Schizosaccharomyces pombe: one gene and its partners. Changing the gene in region 4 together with the main gene of any one other region gives a genetic interaction. Each region holds a gene or a part of one and is shown on either strand. Other genes may lie near its edges.

The links.
Region 1: of cdc24 (region 4) and erf1, a mutation in one rescues a mutant of the other (synthetic rescue), as found in Schizosaccharomyces pombe (one study listed by BioGRID).
Region 2: mutations in cdc24 (region 4) and mcm2 impair growth when combined (synthetic growth defect), as found in Schizosaccharomyces pombe (one study listed by BioGRID).
Region 3: of cdc24 (region 4) and pfh1, a mutation in one rescues a mutant of the other (synthetic rescue), as found in Schizosaccharomyces pombe (3 studies listed by BioGRID).

The regions. Positions count from the first base shown.
Region 1 is NC_003424.3:4,689,803-4,694,271, forward strand, and holds erf1 (cytoplasmic translation release factor class I eRF1), read left to right. Parts: upstream 1-1,977; 5' UTR 1,978-2,124; coding exon 2,125-3,426; 3' UTR 3,427-3,936; downstream 3,937-4,469. Other genes in the region: GDP-mannose transporter Vrg4, read left to right, coding at 368-1,405; multifunctional aromatic polypeptide Aro1, read left to right, coding at 3,969-4,469. UniProt on the Schizosaccharomyces pombe protein: Component of the eRF1-eRF3-GTP ternary complex, a ternary complex that mediates translation termination in response to the termination codons. The eRF1-eRF3-GTP complex binds to a stop codon in the ribosomal A-site.
Region 2 is NC_003423.3:1,190,672-1,195,789, forward strand, and holds mcm2 (MCM complex subunit Mcm2), read right to left. Parts: upstream 3,472-5,118; 5' UTR 3,438-3,471; coding exon 3,205-3,437; exon of another isoform or gene 2,986-3,204; coding exon 726-2,985; 3' UTR 537-725; downstream 1-536. Other genes in the region: COPII-coated vesicle-associated protein Sfb3, read right to left, coding at 1-141; ubiquitin protein ligase E3 component mlo2, read left to right, coding at 3,683-4,672. UniProt on the Schizosaccharomyces pombe protein: Acts as a component of the mcm2-7 complex (mcm complex) which is the putative replicative helicase essential for 'once per cell cycle' DNA replication initiation and elongation in eukaryotic cells.
Region 3 is NC_003423.3:3,567,079-3,572,517, forward strand, and holds pfh1 (DNA repair and recombination protein), read right to left. Parts: upstream 3,399-5,439; 5' UTR 3,111-3,398; coding exon 1,856-3,110; exon of another isoform or gene 1,815-1,855; coding exon 652-1,814; 3' UTR 515-651; downstream 1-514. Other genes in the region: cem1 (3-oxoacyl-[acyl-carrier-protein]-synthase condensing enzyme), read right to left, coding at 1-109; sphingosine hydroxylase/sphingolipid delta-4 desaturase Sur2, read right to left, coding at 4,302-5,183.
Region 4 is NC_003424.3:2,863,187-2,867,507, forward strand, and holds cdc24 (DNA replication protein Cdc24), read right to left. Parts: upstream 2,641-4,321; 5' UTR 2,602-2,640; coding exon 2,510-2,601; exon of another isoform or gene 2,455-2,509; coding exon 2,370-2,454; exon of another isoform or gene 2,316-2,369; coding exon 2,288-2,315; exon of another isoform or gene 2,224-2,287; coding exon 2,024-2,223; intron 1,966-2,023; coding exon 1,302-1,965; intron 1,257-1,301; coding exon 1,122-1,256; intron 1,081-1,121; coding exon 779-1,080; 3' UTR 544-778; downstream 1-543. Other genes in the region: brr6 (nuclear envelope protein Brr6/Brl1), read left to right, coding at 1-381; SPOM_SPAC8F11.08C (esterase/lipase), read right to left, coding at 2,993-3,049, 3,103-4,176. UniProt on the Schizosaccharomyces pombe protein: Has a role in the progression of DNA replication and in the maintenance of genomic integrity. Acts during S phase, after initiation, where it is essential for completion.

The DNA of each region.
Region 1 (4,469 bases), 1.8 Mb from region 4:
ACTTCGACTGGAAAACGATCTTCATACACTAAGGAATTTCACAACAATTCAAACACAGCTTTTACAGTAAATGCTCATACTTTGTTGTAAAACATATGAATTGGTGTAACATTAAGTGTGGCTTGCAGGCGAAAATACTCTTTTATAGATGAACAAAAAAGTATTTAAATAATTATATTTTATATGAGAAGACCAAGTTATTTAAGTTTGATCAACAGAGATGTTAATCAATCTGTATGCCAAAACTTGTTACCAATGGACTGTGTCTTTGAGGAAGGGTAAGGCCTGTTACGTACGCGCTCCTTCCAAACATGGTGGGTAGGTATGTAGACAACTTCACCGGAGCCATCACGAAATTCCAACAACAATGGATAATCATATGCTAAACCGAATTAGTAAATCACCGATTCTTCCAGTGGTGTCATATTGCATGGCTTCCATATTGATGACTTTGACCAATAAATATGTTCTTTCGAGTCCTGGTTACAATATGAACTTTCTCCTTTTGACTGTACAATCCACTGTTTGTGTAGCAGCCATTGGGATACTAAAACGTTTGAAAGTTATTAATTATAGGGATTTTGATTTTCGTGAGGCCAAATTTTGGTTTCCTATTTCCTTTTTATTGGTAGCTATGATTTATACTGCATCGAAGGCTTTGCAATTTCTTTCTGTTCCAGTGTACACTATATTTAAGAATTTAACTATTATTATCATTGCTTATGGTGAGGTCCTTTGGTTTGGCGGGCATGTTACTGCTTTAACTCTTTTTTCTTTTGGATTAATGGTTCTTTCTTCTATTGTCGCTGCTTGGGCAGACATCCAGTCTTCCTCATTTGCTTCCCAAACCTTAAATTCTGGCTATTTATGGATGGTGCTTAACTGTCTCACAAATGCTGCTTTTGTTCTCGCGATGCGTAAGCGTATCAAACTTACCAACTTTCGTGACTTTGATACCATGTTTTATAACAACTTACTCAGTATCCCTGTTTTGGTTATCTGCACGCTCTTTACTGAGGACTGGAGTGCTGAAAACATTGCTCAAAATTTCCCTCCTGATGCCAAATTTGGTGTTCTAATGGCTATGGCTATTAGTGGTGTTTCTTCAGTAGGAATTTCTTACACCTCTGCCTGGTGTGTACGCGTAACTTCTTCGACAACTTATAGTATGGTTGGTGCTCTTAACAAACTTCCCTTGGCTATTGCCGGTTTAGTGTTTTTTGATGCACCCATCACTTTTGGATCTGTTACCGCTATTTTGTTGGGCTTTATTTCTGGTGTTGTTTATGCCGTTGCTAAATCTCAACAGCAACGTCAGAAAGATCCTGCTACCATCCTCCCTATGACTCATAATCCCGTTAGTGCTAGTTCTCAAAGCATGCGCGATAGTCTGTCAAAGTCTTAAACCCTTTGTGTTGGTTATTATTTATGTTTAATTTGCAAAATTTTTTCAAGCCTGCATAAGAGAATAGACTTTGTTTCTTTTTACTTAAAAAGTTTTTATTACCGTTACTCAAAATATACCGCTTTTACTCGTGTTCGATAAAAACCTGATTACGAGATCGTGTCGTTTATTACAACGTGACTATTAGGTTTGAAATATTTTGACAGATAAAACACTGACATTCAATTACAATTTTTAGACCTCTATTATTTCATTTCCTAAATCATTTGCTTTTTTTTTCTAAATATCATTTCTTTCTTTAAAATGCTCTCCGATGGAAAAAGGACGTCTAATGTTCTTATGTCTTCGTTTCCTTTTACTGAGCTTCTAAACTATTGGTTGAATGTTTGTCAGCCGCTTGGAGTCGAATTGTTTAGTGATTCAATTTTACTAATATTTTACCTCCAAAAAATTATTTGTTTTTTTGTATATTATTGAAATACTGTAATAAATACAAATACGATAGCTAAGTTAACGAAATGTATCGTGCTAAAAGTTTTCATAGGCCGTCACCTTTCAGTAGGCAAAAACCTACCAACTACCAAAAACGAAGTACAAGAGGTAATTCGTTGCTTGAACTGTCTGTTCAAGTTATAAAAAAATAGGATTTCGGTTTTCGGATTTTTCATAGTGTGTACAAGAACCTTGGGTATAAAAAACTTTAAAACAAATTTTACAAAATGAGTGAGACTGCTGAGAAAGCTATCGAAATTTGGAAAATTCGCCGTTTGGTAAAACAATTGATTAACTGTCATGGAAACGGCACCTCAATGATTACGTTAATTATCCCACCTGGCGAACAAATATCCAGATACAGCAATATGCTTGCCGAAGAGTATGGCACTGCCTCTAACATTAAATCTCGTGTGAATCGTTTATCAGTTCTATCTGCAATTACTTCAACTCGTGAGCGTTTGAAATTGTACAATAAAGTCCCTGATAATGGATTGGTCATTTACTGCGGTGAAGTTATAATGGAGGGCAATAAGACACGCAAGCTCAACATTGATTTCGAACCCTTCAAACCAATTAATACTTCGCAATATCTTTGTGATAATAAATTTCATACTGAAGCTTTAGCAGAATTGCTTGAAAGTGATCAACGCTTCGGATTTATTGTTATGGACGGTCATCAAACTTTATATGGTGTTGTTTCTGGTAGTGCTCGTGAGGTTTTACAACGATTCACTGTCGATTTACCTAAAAAACATGGACGTGGTGGTCAATCTGCTCTTCGTTTTGCCCGTTTACGTGATGAAAAACGTCACAACTATGTTCGAAAGGTTGCTGAAGGTGCTGTGCAGCATTTTATTACTGATGATAAACCTAATGTTGCGGGTATTGTTCTTGCTGGTTCTGCTGATTTTAAAACGGAACTCGGTCAAAGTGACTTGTTTGACCAACGTCTTCAATCTCGTATTATCAAGACTGTAGACGTCTCGTACGGTGGCGACGCTGGTTTTAACCAGGCTATAGAATTGGCTGCTGATACTTTGTCAAATGTGAAATATGTCCAAGAGAAAAAATTGATACAACGCTTTTTCGACGAAATTAGCTTAGATTCGGGTAAATACTGTTTTGGTGTCGTTGATACTATGAATGCACTTCAGGAAGGTGCCGTAGAAACACTTCTGTGTTTTGCAGACCTTGATATGATCCGTTATGAGTTTAAGAACTCAGAAGGTAATCCTGTTATTACATATATGACTAAGGAGCAAGAGGAAAAGGATTCTACCAATTCGTTCTTGCTAGATAAGGATACAGGTGCTGAAATGGAGTTAGTAAGCTCTATGCTACTCTCTGAATGGCTTGCTGAACATTACAAGGATTACGGTGCTAACTTAGAGTTTGTTTCTGACCGATCTCAGGAAGGTATGCAATTTGTCAAAGGTTTTGGTGGTATTGGTGCTGTTATGCGTTACCAGCTTGATCTCTCCATGCTTGATCCTGAATCTGATGAATTTTATTCCGACTCCGACTAATTTTCCCCTTAAAAGTAATATAATAAACTAAGCGTGATTTGTATTTACCGATTGTCATTTAATCTTTTTGAGTTACTATCTTTTGTTGGTTGCTTAGTGATATTTGAGGTTTGCCATTATAAATCTTATCGACTTATTTTTCTTAGACTATGTAAATTCACTCGCTTCTTCTCCTTCATAAGTTGTGTCGTACTATTATTCTTTTTGTTTTTTTCAAATAAATTAGCGGTAGGCTAATATTTTTCTTTAGCTGCCTTCACTGCTGTCCGCAAATTTGGGAAAATATTAATTAAAATGCCGAGCATCATACTGATTTCTCGAACAGTAAGTATATTGCATCTCTTACGATTTTAAGTTTAAATATTTCTAAAATTGCAAGTTTAGCAATTAAATAAGTATTTAGGATTGATTTAGTTTGTGATTTGAGCTCTCATGAATTTTAGCATTAACGAGATTTACGGTCGTATCTTGTCGCAATCTACAAATAGAAGCTTGTCCTTAGCAAGTAGCATATATCTTGCAATACTATAATCTTCTGCAAGATGTCAAACGAATCTAATATAATTACAGTTCCTATACTCGGAAAGGATACTGTGAGAGTTGGATTTGGTATACATCAATATATATGCACTGAAATTCTGGAAAACTTCAAGTCTTCGACATACGTCGTAATTACAGATTCAAATATTGCACCTCTTTACCTGGAAAAGATTGAAAGTACTTTTAATAAGTCTATTAAAGATGCCAAGGCTGAAGCAAGGTTGCTTACTTATGTGATTCCTCCTGGAGAATCTTCAAAATGCCGAGCTATGAAAGCGGAAATTGAAGATTGGTTGCTCACACAATCCTGTACACGAGATACCATCCTTATTGCTATGGGAGGTGGAGTTATTGGTGATTTAGTGGGATATGTAGCTGCTTCATTCATGCGTGGCATTCGTTTTATTCAGATGCCTACCACCTTGCTTGCTATGGTTGATTCTTCTATTGGAGGGAAGACAGGTATTGACACTCCCTTGGGAAAAAACCTTGTTGGTGCTTTT
Region 2 (5,118 bases), on a different chromosome or scaffold from region 4:
CTGTATATACATTTGTGCGTTCATTTGAGCAGCTAACTGAGTGTCAATTTCAGGGCCCCCATATGAAGCAATATTGCCAGCAACATTTTGCCTATAAGTCTCAGGATTACCGTAATTTCCAAACTGCCCGGGATAGGCCATTTTGTTTTTGTGTCAAGTTTACTTGGTGGATGTACGAATATAAGTAGGTAAGGGTAGGGCAAAATATATACCAAATAAAAAGACTGATTTGAAAGAGTAACACGATATAAATAATTTTAGATAATAAAGTGTGAAATTTGAGATTCTTCAGGAACATCAGATATGAACTGGATGCATTTCCGATTGTCAAAAGTTGACTTCCCTTTAAATTTGGAAATGGACAATTTAGCTCTATATGTAAAAAACCTCAGCTGTTTCAAAAAATGTCATTTCACATGGGCAGTGGCTCTTTAATGAAACAGCTAATAATATTGATACAGCGGAGAAAGTATCTATACACCTAGTATCTATAGCGAATAGTCAATAATGATATTCAAAACAAGTGTTATTAACCTAAATAATTTAGATTGACATTTTGAAAACTAAGAAAGAATGAATGTAAAGATAGGTATAAAAATGTAAAGCAAATTTTGATTGCAAATTATTAAAGGATAGATATATGCAACAGATGCAGTAACAAAAGGAGGGTCAAAGAACGGGGAAATCAAAATCACTGGACTCCATAAACTGATTGTGTCAAAAAATTAAATAAGATATTTAGCAAATGTTCTTGACAAACTTCGTTTAACACTCATTTTTTGGGCATTCACAAAGGAATCAATAATCACTTGAATGGCTTTGTCTATATGTGAAGGGCGCACAAACTCACTGAGCTGCATTTTTGCAAATGCTTCACTTAAACGGATAGCAGACTCCAGATGACGCACAGTAATAGGATAACTTCCAGTAGCCAGTGACTCGCGTCTCATATCGCTATAAAGTCTCGAAATCTTTTCTTCATCCATTTGCTGTAATCGAGGAAAAACTTTTTCACGAGCGAAATGGATATATTTACGAAGAAGATCTTGGGGAATGGGTTTGGCATCAATACCAGTCTCAGTAGGGACTTTCTTCAAGACATCCATATTCGGATCAAATGCAGGATGAGATCGAATATGACTTGATACAACAAAATTAGCTAGCTGTTCATCAATTTCAGGATTAACCGTGTCTTTGACGACCTGAAGGATGTCAAAACGAGATAAAATAGGTTCGGTCAGCTCAACATTTTGATTAAAAGGAATTGTAGTGTTATAACGTCCACCGATGGGATTAGCGGCAGCAATAATAGTGCACCTCGCCTGCAAGGTAGTCACAATACCCGCCTTAGAAATAGAAATACTTTGTTGTTCCATGGCTTCGTGAATAGAAGTACGATCCTGATCATTCATTTTATCGAACTCGTCAATCAAACAAACACCTTTATCTGCTAAAACCAAAGCACCCCCTTCCAAAGTCCATTCATTCGTAATGGGGTCTTTACGGACGGATGCAGTTAGACCAACAGCACTGGCACCCTGACCTGTGGCGAAGACAGCCCTATGTGCCGTTTTTTCAACATACTTAAGAAATTGAGATTTGGCGGTTCCTGGATCTCCCAACAATAAAACATTGATATCACCTCTAATTTTATGCTTACCGTTAATATTTTTGGGGACACCACCGAATAAAGCAGCAGCAATAGCAGTTTTGATAGAGCGATGTCCATAAATAGAAGGCGCCATCGATGCAATAATTCTGTTGTGAATATCAGGCGACTTTGCTAATGCCCGAATTTCCCTTTCCTCATCATCAGTAAGCCGACTTAAAGAGAAATCATCATCAGTATTACCACTGCCGTCAAGTTGCGATATGTGATTTGCTTCTATAATTGTAGCGAAGACAGGAAACCCGTTTTTGGTATTCAGACTAGCATCGAAGTTATTGCGGTATATGCCAGTAACATCAATCTCTTCGCCTGGTTTGGCAACATCAACCAAGTCCGCTAAAAGAATAACTTCACGGTGTCGAGGCAGTCTACCTGAGGGGACGGTGCCAGGTGATTCTTGTAAAGTGATCCTTTGATAGTTATTATATACAGTCCGTTCAGAGTTGATTACAAACGGACCACGGCTGGAACAGTTGTGACAGAAAGAAATTTTTACTTCAACGCTAGAGTCTTGAAAAAATGGACCCAAAGTAGCACCACATTTGGTACATGTAAACCGAATGTATTTTAATTGTGGAAAAAGCCCAGTGCGCCTAGTTACGACACCAGATACCCGTACAAGGCAATTAAGATGGGATTGTCGTAGATCGCGTAAAGTAAAACAAGTAGGAAGATTAGTGATACGAACATGAATATCAGAGTGTATTCTTTCATAGTCTGGATAATGCAAAAGAGTGGCTTCCAAAGCAACACGATCAAATATGCGAAAAATAGGTGCAGGCGCATTGGCCAAGAAATAAGCCAAAATGGGTTTAGATTCACCAAGATGGGCATAATTAACCATCAACGACTCAGCATTAACCTCACCCAATGTGCGAATACGGTTACCGTATACAGAGGTGCCATTTTCATCTGTATATTCAAGAAGGAAATTTTTGAATTCTCGAGCAATTGTACGCCGAACAGGATCAAGAGTAACCCATTCGGCAATACTATCGGCCTTTACGTCGGCAATTGATTCAAGAGGAAGTTCACCAGATTCGTCCAATGCGCCAACATTAGGTGAATATTCGTCGTAAATTCGATGTCGATGACGAGTGAAGCCTGTGCCAAGATTGGAGTCCAAATCATCATCTTCATCTTGTAAAAATGCAGCAGGTTTTGTTCTACCTGCAGCAGCATCGAGCTCAATATCACGTCGTCTCAACCTGGCATCAACAGCTCTTCGGGCCCCGATATCTAATTCTTCAAGATCGTTATCGTCATCTAGTTCTTCAATGTCATAACGATCTAGCTCCAAATTTTGTTGATAATCACTATACAGTTAGAAAAAAGTACCTTATTTGACGCGAAATGTGAAACTACTCTTTTGAAAATCAAGATTTGTTCTGTCAATATAACCGCAACCTAGGAATCCAATAAATATATTTATTTACAAGAAGGAGAAGAAATAGTATGTAATTTATATATTGATGGCAACACTTAGTATACACAACATTGACAAGACACGTCTCAAGCATAGCTATAAAACTTACCGTTCCATTCCTTCTCCGAACAAATCTTCACCTTCTTCATCCTCTACATCTAAAGCTTCTCCGTCCAGATCCTCAATATCCTCCTCCACGAGAGCTTCTGCAGCTTCATCAGAGAATTCTGGAGGAGGTGAAGAAGGAGGTAAAGAAAGAGGTGTAGCACCGAGAGAAGAATTTTCTGATTCAAAAGGTAAACTTTCAGAATCGCGGCGACCCCTTTTCCGAAAAGAATCCATCTTTGGACTCAAATACTTTAAAGATGTTGTTTCTAACTATTTTAATGCATTGAATAGCTAGAGTATTGCAGGATGAAAGAATAAGAAATGCTACAGTATATTGTTAAATTGTATTGGAAAATGTAGTGATACCTGTAAATGAAATAGAGGAGCGTAATGAGTTAGTGTTTTGAATTATTCAAAAGACATTCTTCGCAATTGTTTACGCCGTCTATTTGCCAACGTTTAGTTGCATTTAATAACTTATGGAGGAAACGGCTCATGAATTAACGGTTAAGCAATATGTTGAACAGCAAAGGGAGCTTGAAAGGGAGGCACGAGAAGTTTTGCCTTACAGCTTTGACACGTGCACTTATTCGATGGGCTATTTGAAGCAACCTTTATACGCTTGTTTGACATGTCAAAAAGCTAGCGGAAGCTTAAATGCTGTTTGCTATAGCTGCAGTATTAGCTGCCATGCTGACCATGATCTTGTGGACCTATTCAATAAACGACATTTTCGATGTGATTGTGGCACCACAAGAACCCACTCCATACCTTGTAATTTACGGAAATCCGTTGATGAATGTGGCTCAGAAAATGATTATAATCATAATTTCGAAGGGCGATTTTGCATATGTGATACGGTGTATAATCCAGAGACAGAGGAAGGAACTATGTTTCAATGCATCCTTTGCGAAGATTGGTTTCACGAAAAGTGTCTGCAGAAAACTAATAAAGGAATTGCAATCCCAGATGCTGAGACTTTTGAATGGTTGGTGTGTTCAGAATGTTCAGAAAAATACCGCGATCATCTTTTAAACCAGAAGCATGAAAGCATAGCTGGTACAGAACGAGCGCCTCTATTTCTTTCAGAAAACTTTAGGGAAAATTTGTGCCCTTGTGAATCTTGCATCAGTTTGCGTAATTTGGAGATGCCAATGTTGGTGGCAGAAGAACCTATTTACGAACCTCCTGAGGATTCTGAGGATGGAATCAGTGAGATGAATGAGGATCCCAGTGAATCTGGAGAAATGATTGAGCAAGTCATATCTAGCACAATGAATGATGTCCTTCGTATTTTGGACAGACTTCCTCGTGTACAAGCTAACGAAAGCGTTTATGCGTATAATCGCTTAAAATCTGAGCTAACGGACTTCCTCACTCCATTTGCTCGTGAAAATAGGGTTGTCACCAAGGAAGATATATCAAATTTTTTCTTGGAGCGATCTCGAATCAGTAAAAATTTACGGTAGCGTTAATAACTTTTTTGAATTCCCTTCTTTTTTGGCGTATAATTTAACGTCAAAACATGTAGGTTATACTTAATCTGGTGATGCTTTTTGTGAAACGCTGTTTATACTGGTGAAACCAGAGATATTTTCTATGTGCTTATGGTTAAACGTAATCATTTCTCTATCAAAAATGGTTTAATTGATTTTCTTAACAGAGATGGTTAATTTGAGAGGCTTACTGGGGCTTGTTGGTATACATGATTTTAATGATGATGACAAATTTGTATGTATATTTGAACAATAATTAATATATTGAACTTCTAGCTTTCTTGTCTCTCCTATTTTAACTGCACTCATTAAAATTTTTAAACCTATCTATAGTTTTGGTGGTTGCGTCTTTTATCTTTTATTTTTGATTGAGAAAGCTAAAGAGAAACCCTGTCTGGGTATTTTTTTTTTGTTATATC
Region 3 (5,439 bases), on a different chromosome or scaffold from region 4:
TAAGAGATACGATACCTGATTTTCCTTGAATTAGATTTCGCCAATTGGTTTTAACTCCATTGCCTAGAGGGGTTACGGCCCCCAGTCCAGTTATTACCACACGTTTCATTTTTCTAGCATTACTTTGTGGAAATAATAATAGATTATCTGTCGTTTCTTTCGACAGGGTATTTGAGGCGAGAATTTAACAGTATATAAATCGATCAAAACTGTGTTTATGTTATCGATTTCAAAGTTCTGATTGAAAGTGGATTAAATGTTCAGTTTTTATGCATGGTCAAGGTGTGTTGGCTATTAAAGTTAAGAGACTGATTGAAGCGAGGTGCACCCTGTTCGTTTAATTACAGTTTATGCGATAGTTAAAGATTACTAGAAGGTGGCCTTGTAACAATTACTTCCTGTACATAATTAAACATCCTCAAGGAATACCGCTGTTATAGAAATGAATTAGCACCATAGGAAAAATAATAATAAATGTAAAGCTCAAATTTAATAAACAAAGAAGAAATTAAATATATGAATATATTATTAAAATTATTTCTATGAATAAAATTACCTAATTAGTCTAAAATCACTGTACACTTCAACCATATATATTCAGGCCGTTATGAATAAATCTTTAGTACATGGTAAACTCGTAAAAATTGATTTTTACTTATTTTTGACTCCCCTCATTTGAACTGGAGCCTTGTTTTCATTACGTATCGGCAAACCATTAACAGAAGCCAGTTGTTTATAGAATTGCACGACTTTGGGGTGTGCCATCACCTTCGCAGGCGAAAAATTAAGAACCTGGAGACCTTCTTGAGTAGTTGCACGAGATAAGGCAACATACGCTTGCCCTTTCTCAAAAACACGACCCAAATCAACCTTGACTCGATCCAAAGTCTGTCCTTGTGCCTTGTGAATAGATATCGCATAAGCCAAAATAAGAGGAATTTGGCTTCTAGAAGCTTGAACCTCACCATTGGGAAGCTCAATATTCCAAGTTTCCCGTTGTACAACAATTGTACGTTCACCTCCATTTGGAAGTTTAAAACGAACTAATGGCCATTTTATTGCCGTGGATGAAGCTTTACGCATTGCAATCAATTTATATTTCTTTTGCTTAACGTCTGGAAGATCAAAGGGTGAAATGTCTAAACTATCATATTCAAAAGCATTTCTTCCCTGCATTTCAGCATCCTTTTTTTCCATTTGATAGGTCTCATCATCTATGAAACCTATAACTTTTCCAAGAGATCCATTTACTAACTGATCATCTATATTCTTTATAAGCATTACCTGAGCATTTACCTTTAACACTAAAGTGGCAGGAGCCATGCACCCTTGCAGTAATCGGTCACGAAATTCTTTATCTCGAACAGTACCCGAGTCAATAGCGGTAAACGTGACAGGATTTTGATTAATTTGTTGCATACGCATATCGTTCGAACGCTCAACCTCATAACGTGTGGGAAATAACTCTGTCGGAAGAAGCCCATCTTCATATTCAATCGTTCTATTAAGAACTTTGAATTTTCTAACCGATTCATCAGATAATTTCCCGAGGCGCAATTCATTAAGCATTTTGACAAATTCCTCATCCTTTTGCCGAAAAACGTGAGTCAATCCTATTGTAAAATCAAGTGCGCTTTTCCATGTCTGAGATTCGAAACAGAATTTCGATTCTTTCCCATTTTCTGGAACAGGAGGTAACTGAAAAAAATCCCCAGTTAAAACCAACTGAATTCCACCAAATGGCTTACTATCTTTGCGAATAACACGCGCAACCTCTTCTAACTTGTCCATTAATTCAGCATCGACCATAGAAACTATAGTTATTAGTAAATATAAACTCACTTAAATTGTTTACCTTCATCAATGATCAAAACTCTGGTGCGCAACCAACGATTAACACACTTCTTATTTTTCTTTATTTTAGATACCAGGAGGTCGACAGATTCACGAGCAAGGCCTACCCCAGCAAAGGAGTGAAGTGTTACACCGCCGATATTACAGGCTGCCAAGCCTGTAGAAGCGGTAACAGCAACTCTGTCAGATTGCTTTCTATATTTAGATTTTAGGACTTCAATTATTTTTCGGAGGAGAACAGATTTACCTGTTCCAGCAGAGCCCGTAAAAAATATACTGTGTTGTTGCTCAACAACCATGTCTAAAATTCTTTTTTGCTCATCGGAAAGGAATATGCTAGGGACAGATTTTTTACGAGAATCACTTGTCTTAAACAAAGAAGATCCTATTGGCGATTTGGAAGCAGAGTTTAAAGGAACAGAAAATTTTTTAGATATCTGTGGGGTAGACTTAGATTTACTCATGCGTTTTTTAGCCAGACTATCCAAAGAACTGCTTCGTCCATTGCTAAGCTTATTTGAAGAATCATTAGATACAGTGTGTTGACTGATATCAGCTGAAGTGCTGGTTCTTTTAGGATCAGGATCTCCATATCTGTAAGGATCCACTGCCCAAGGAAGGGTTCGTGAGCGTTTTATTCCCTGCCTCGTAATATTACTAGATATTACGCTACTTGCGCCTTTTTCAGAAGTATGGTCTTCGTAAATTTTTGAGAGATGATTTTTTGACCGCTTTTCGCTCGAGAGCATTGATTTAGTTAACTTAGTATGCTCGATAGGGGATGAAGACCAAGGAATTGGTTTTTGGTCAATATCGTTTTCTAAAAGTAGATCATCATCAAAGTCATTTTCATCAATATAGACGCCATTCGCTATTTCAGTGGAGTATTTACTACCCAAGCCAGAATTTTCAAAAACGGGCAGTGAGGGTTTCGAAACATCGAATCCCACGGTGTTATCAAGTTGTTTTAAGCTAGCAGCAGAACGACCTCTTTTGGCTGGTAGGGTTATTGGAGATGACGGAAGGTTATCAGACTGGCTAGAAAATGTTTGCTGATCATCATTAGTAGAGGAGCGAGAGGAATTGAAGTTTAAAGAAGCGGACGAAAAACCGCCCAATTTGTTCAAGGAGGGTTGATGCGATGACTCGTTTTGTGTATGAAGCAAGCTGCTTTTCTGCTGAGCTCTTTGAAACATGACGGGGATACGTTTCCTAAAAGAGTGACTAAATTTATAAAGAGATTGGCACGAAAACATTCATCGAATTACTTCAAGAAACTGGAAGGCGATCTGTACGCAGGTTGTCTAAAAAAAGAAACCGTAAACGAAATAGATCACCCAAAATTGTTTGATCGAAGAAAAGCAACAAGAAAACAATTTCAGTTTGAATTTAAACAACAATCTGCTACTGACTTATGCGACCTCGACCTAACACCTATGATAAGCGGTCCAAGCACATAAGAGTTGGAAGTATCCCTTTGTTGATTGTATTAATTGGGATACCGGTTGAAGAAATTTGTCAATGTCGAGGAAACGGCTGTTGACAAGGAGGTACAGAAATGAAAGCGCTATACTAATAAAAATCAAATTTACGGTGGTAGTGGACGAGACAAATGAAAGCGCGTATGTCAAGACGCGTCACGTCTGTCACCACCAGGCACGTGTTTTTTACTTCACAACTTTTGCACAAATTTTTTATCATTCAATACTGTAATTATCATAAAGTCCTTTTTACATTAGTCGTTCCTTAAGTATAACTTGCATAATTTGCTTTCGGGGCCTATGCAATGCAATGCAAATAAATTGACTTTTGTTATAATATGTTACAATCGAAGCAAATATTAACCCGTGTTTACAGTAAGTTATTAATTTTATAATATTTGATAAAACGCGTCTACGATACCATATCCTCGGAAGTCTGTAAATAATAAATGCTATCAATTAATAAATTATATACTGTATGTAGACTAAAACAATCAATACTAAGTCGAAAATTCAATAATGAGCGACAAACGATTTAAATTCGTTGACCAACCAACTTTGGTAAAGATACACAAAAACATGCATCTTTAGGTAAGTATCGTGTTCTTCAGCAGTCCGTGTCAAACATCCCGTTTTAAAGAGACTTTAGAAGTGGAAAATAACATAAAAATACAAGGTTACGGTTATCACAAATACCTAGAGTCATAGGAGGGATAACTTCAACAGTAAGGATTGCCAATCGATTTGTACTACCGACAAATTTAAAAGGAAGAACAATTAGATTAATAAAATTTCAAAAAAAATGAAAATAGCAAACAAAGAAACTAGAAAGAATGAGAAAAAATTAATAGTAAACATTTATAACTCAATATAAAAAAAACAGTATATTGGATTCAGCAGAAGTACTAAGGATAAGAAAGATTCAAAAAATGCAAATATCACAGAGCACATGTACTTTTGTAATTTCTAGTTAACCTTCTTTGCATTCTTAGCCTTTTGCTTTTTCTCGTAAGGAGTTTCAGACTTGGGAGGCATGTAAGTTCCCAAAACGTGGTCCCAGAAGGTAAAGAAGGGCTGGCTAAAGTTCTTTTGGAAACCGTAAGGTTGGTGATGAAGGTCATGGTAACGAGCATTATTGGCAAAGAACATTTGAAGAGGGTCATAAGGGAATACGTATCCACAGTGATCATCAACAGTCTTCAAGGTAGAAAGGGTGAAGAAAATAACAGCTTGTTGAGGAGAAAGACCGGCGGCGAGATAAGCAACACCAGCGCCAAAAGTGTCCAAAATCAAACCTTCAAAGGGATGGTTGTAAAGGGCACCCATAGCATAGGGAACTTGGAGACGATGGTGATGGGCATGAATCATGTTGTAGAGCTTCTTGTTGTAGTGGAGGTAACGGTGCCAGAAGTATTGCCAGCTGTCAATGATGAAGAAAGCAAAGAAGTATTGGAATGCGGGAACAATAAAGTTATAAGCCAATTTAGGGGCAAAGGGAGCAACTTGTAACAAAGCAGGCAAATTCTTGCTGAAGAAAGCCTCGTAGCGTAACATTTGCTTAGCCTCGTCAATGGGTTCAGGATAGCCCTCGAACATGGCCAATGCGATTCCAACGACGACTTCGCAAAGTTGTTGGAAAAGCACGGCTTTAACAACAGCCATCTGAGGAACACGGTTGCGTCTGGCTATCTCCTCCGGAGGATGAATGCGATACTTCTCAAAGACAGGTAATTCAATGTAATGCAAAAATCCGAAGAAAGCAGAAGCAACCCAGTAAATGATGACAGGAGAAACCAAGGAAACGGTCACTGGGTTCCAGGTAGTTAACATTTCAACGGTGGTAACCATAGTGGCAAGAAAAATTCAAATTCGAAAATATAGCAAAAAGTTAAGTGAAAGTGTAAGAAAAGAGAGAAGCTGATTAGTTATATATATGCGAATATATATCTATGTGTCTAGACTGAAGAAAGAAAACAGTTGGTACAATATATACAAATCACAAACGGCAAGAAATGTGATTTATACAAACAATTGAAAAACGATGAAACCAATAAGGAACCTTTTAAAACAACAAGTAATAAAAAGGATATTTAAACGAAACAAA
Region 4 (4,321 bases):
TATCTTTCTATTAACTGTGACTCTCCAGGACCTGCTATTTTTGAAGTTTGTCAAAAACTGAAACAATGTAAAATGGAAAGTTCTAATAATGTCGGTTCTACAAAGTTGGCAGCGTTAGTTTTTGCTGAGATTATAGACGCTTTTATAAGTCATATTTCTTATAAAACTATGGTTTTTTCCCTCATTCTTGTATTTGGAAGTCTACTAACATCCAATTACGCCTTTGGTCTTTATAGAGCTAGACATTCTCAAAATATCCACGATTATGCTGCCAACGCTATCCCGGCGATGATACCGTCCAGTAGATTCCTTCCTTCCAATCTTTCTGATATTTCCAATAGAAACCTTATCGAAGCTGCCTCTCAGGAGGAAGAAATTTGAACGTCTTCATTTTTCTACTAACCTCATTTTTCTTAAAATCATTTTTCATCACTTTCATTTATATCATTACTTTGAACGTTATTGGTATGCTTTCTAATTTGGCATACAAATTTCGTTATTCGGATTCATTTTCTTTTATAATTTTGTTAATTTAGCTGTTCATTGTATCGTATTGCTTTGTTTCTCACAAGGGTGAGCCAATTAATATTCTAACTTTGAATTTCTTTTTTGGAAAAATGCATTATTTATAAGCCTTTTAAACTGTAGTATATTAGTAAATTAAGCAAACTAAGCTTTTAAAACGGAGAATGATTGAATGAACTGTACATCTTTTCATTCAAACATTCAATGTTTGATTTTTATTTGTTAGACATAATTATTCAGATAATGGCGATGGCTATTCACACGGCAGAGAGTTTATTTTTTGTATATGGCAGTTGTGTTCTGAGTCCACATAAATATCACACCAATGGAATCCGAGCTTGTACGACTTCAAATCCAGGTATATTGGAAATTCCATTTCTTTTTGGAATAATTCTTTAAAGCCGGAAATCATAGACGCAAAATATGAAACACAATTCGGTCGTAAAGCTGCCCAAAAACTATTCCTTAAACAGTCAATTACCTCCATTTTTGCTGTTAATGGATTTACTTCCGGCAAGACCAAACTGGTATTTAAATCAGATTGGCGGGTTAAATCTATCATTCAATTAGTATTTCGTAAAACAAGCAACCCTTACTCGCTACAAATCCGGTGATCACCAAAGTTAACGGTTGAATTTTTAAATGCCCAGAAACACCTGAAAAAAGGTTGGAGAACTTGCATAAATCATTTCTCAAAAAGTTTGAGGATAACGGGTTCTCCAAGTTTGACACTAAAATAAATCAATATTCAATCCCATAAATTTACCATTTCTTACGAATTTCAGTCGTTGTGTCACTAACGCATGAATAATCACTTAGATTGTCAGAAGAATGATTGATTGGGCTAATGCATAGCAAATCTCCAATATAGGTATCCTTGAAATAATGCTTTTGAGAATTGGAATACAATATCTTCACTCGCTGACCATTGTTATCCAGTACAAGAAAATTTGAATTAACGGCAGCTAAGCGTCCCACTTGCCAGGAGTCGCATTTTTTTTCTTCAAAGTCATTCTCACTTAAAATTACCAAAATACCGATCATTCCATCCTGCCAGTTGGTACTGCCTTCCCAAACGGTACTCCAAAATGGAATAAGTAGGTATTGTTGCTTGTCTAGCAGCTTAGGGAAATCATGGTAAGTCCCTGAGAAATGTATAAAATTGGTATTGTTGTCTATAAGAAAAGCACCTTTTTTGTCTAAAGAAATGATGCGACCCAATTCCACAGTAATTCGTTTCACACCTTGATCACTTTTGCTTATAGTAATATCACGTATTTGAAAGAATTCATGTTCAGTTGATTCAACCATTGATTTCACAAAACTTTTTGATGCAGCATATTGCAATACTGGAACAAAGCTAGTTGTAGGAAGGAAACGTATTTGCTTTCGTAAATACCATTTTTGATGGATGCGTGACTGAGAAAAGCGTAAAGTTGACTAAATAAAGGTCTTAGATAATCACTGTTATAAAGGAGATGATATTCAAAAACCTTACACCTTTCAAAATGTTAAATGGTTCATGGAAGAGTAAATAAAAACTGGAATGCAAAATCATTTCGCACGTATTCTCCTCACTATCTTTCAGCTTCAAAGACGGTATTGGGGTATAATAATAATCATAGCAATGAAAATGAAACTGGTCTTCCAAATAAATAACTGCATCTGATTTCGTTAACCATTCCAAAGAAGAAAAAACTGTTTACAAAAAAGGAGGTCAATATCTCTTTATACCAAAAAAAAAAGTAAACTTTCTCGTTACCATTGTCCAATTTATTTCTCTCCGAGCACTACGTTCATGCATGTCAGATTTTATCGACTTGTAGAGTAAGTAGATTCCTTACCGCTAATTCAATCTCGTTAATTAAAATGGGATAGCTAAACCCTGAGGGATACTCCTTTAACAAGCTGATAGTTTTGTTTATTAACCTAAATTGTCAGTAGCCACTCTTTACATATGCGTTAACTTTTAGCATCTACTCACCAGTAATCAGTGAATGCTGGTTGTTTAGATTTCTCAACTAAGCGGTTTTCTAGATCTTCTTTTATTTTTTTAATCAGACCTGGAAAATCCATATAATCATTAAATTTACTACTGCTCTAAGATTAGTAGTTGATAGAATATAGATAATTGACAGCTGCCTAAATACTCCATTTAGTATCATCTGTTTTTATACTGTTACGCCTAATGATATTGAACAATACTTATAAAATTTTTACAATTTAAAAACTTGTTTGCTGTCATTATTTTTGTTATTTCATATCACAATCGAAATTTTAAGTAAGAAGACACAATAAACAGCATATAACCAAATATAATATTTAATTCATTTAAAACAGATATCTATCCGGTTTTGGGATGCTTGTCAAAAAAGATGAAACATCTAGCAAACAAAAAAGCATATGCTTGTAAAATATTAAAACAAACTTAAAACTACCCATCTAGAGAAGGAATGCACTCGTAAAATTAAATTGTTTTCTTATTATCTTCTACTAAGAAGAACCAACGTGCGATGAACGTAGCCTGGCGGGTTAGTAAACGATTAACGAAATAAGGAATTTACTATATTGACATACCGTTGAGATTGTTCTTGGAGAAGTAAATTCATAATAATAAGGGACAGCACCAGGTACAACAAAATTTTTAATCAATGATGCCTTTTCGGATGATTCTCTATCATTACTGTCGCTAACCGGATTGACATCTCCAGCATGTAATGTCATCATAGGAATAGTGGATTGATTTGTCCACACTAAATTTTGAATAGAACGGGGACACAGAGCAAAAATGCCTTTTACAGAGTTTGGTCGAATGTGTTTTAGACTCTCAAGAGCGACAGACGCACCAGTATCTTCACCTAGGAAAAAAATACGTTCTGGATCTGCATCATAATAGATGGCATTCTCTACTATCCAATCTACACACAAAGATACAAATTCGACGGCATCGGAAAGGGGAAATTTTGGAGGCTGGGCGTAATTGGGAACCACTACGAAGAAGCCTAAAGATGAAAGGTAGGGAATGATAATGCTTTCGGATTTCTTAGCACCACAAACCCAAACAATAACAGAAGATGCGGATGCAGATTTTGGAGGTGAATAAGCGTTTAATAAAAGGTGACTTTTGTAAACGAGACGCTCAGCATTATTTTTGGCTAAAAGCCAGTTAGGAAGATAAGAGATGTATGGGTAGCGTTTGACGGTTGTCCCATGTAAATCATTGATAAATAACCTACTGAAGCATTTTGCAAGTGAGCTATTTTTTTGCTGATCGCGGTTACCGATGCTTGGTTCAAGAGATGCGGGTAATTCAGACTCGAGTTTTCGGGCGGCAAGTACATTAACAGCGGCCAAAGCAAACAAGGATCCAAGGCCAAGCATATCAACAAAAAATATTTTGTCGTAGAAAGAAGAAAATTGGGCACCCATACGCTCAGCAATTATAGTAGCAACGAACTTAACGCTTGCCGCTTCTAAGCTTTTCTCTGAAACAAAAGCAAAAAAAGAAGCAACATTTGATTCAGATGCACCGATGACTATCTTGGACAACAACTTAACCAAAAATTTGCGAACTTCCAGCTGGTATGCTGAAAGAATCACAAAAGATGAAAGTACTACCCAAATAGAATAAAGAATCGTCGCAAACCCCATTACTACATGGAATGATTTTTGTCTCAATACTAAATTGGTTAATATAATGTGTGAAAAATAAAATAATTTCAGTAAATAATCATGTCTGTTTTCGTTCTGATGACTTTCAATTGAAGAAATTACGAAGTCCACATTGGGAGAAAAA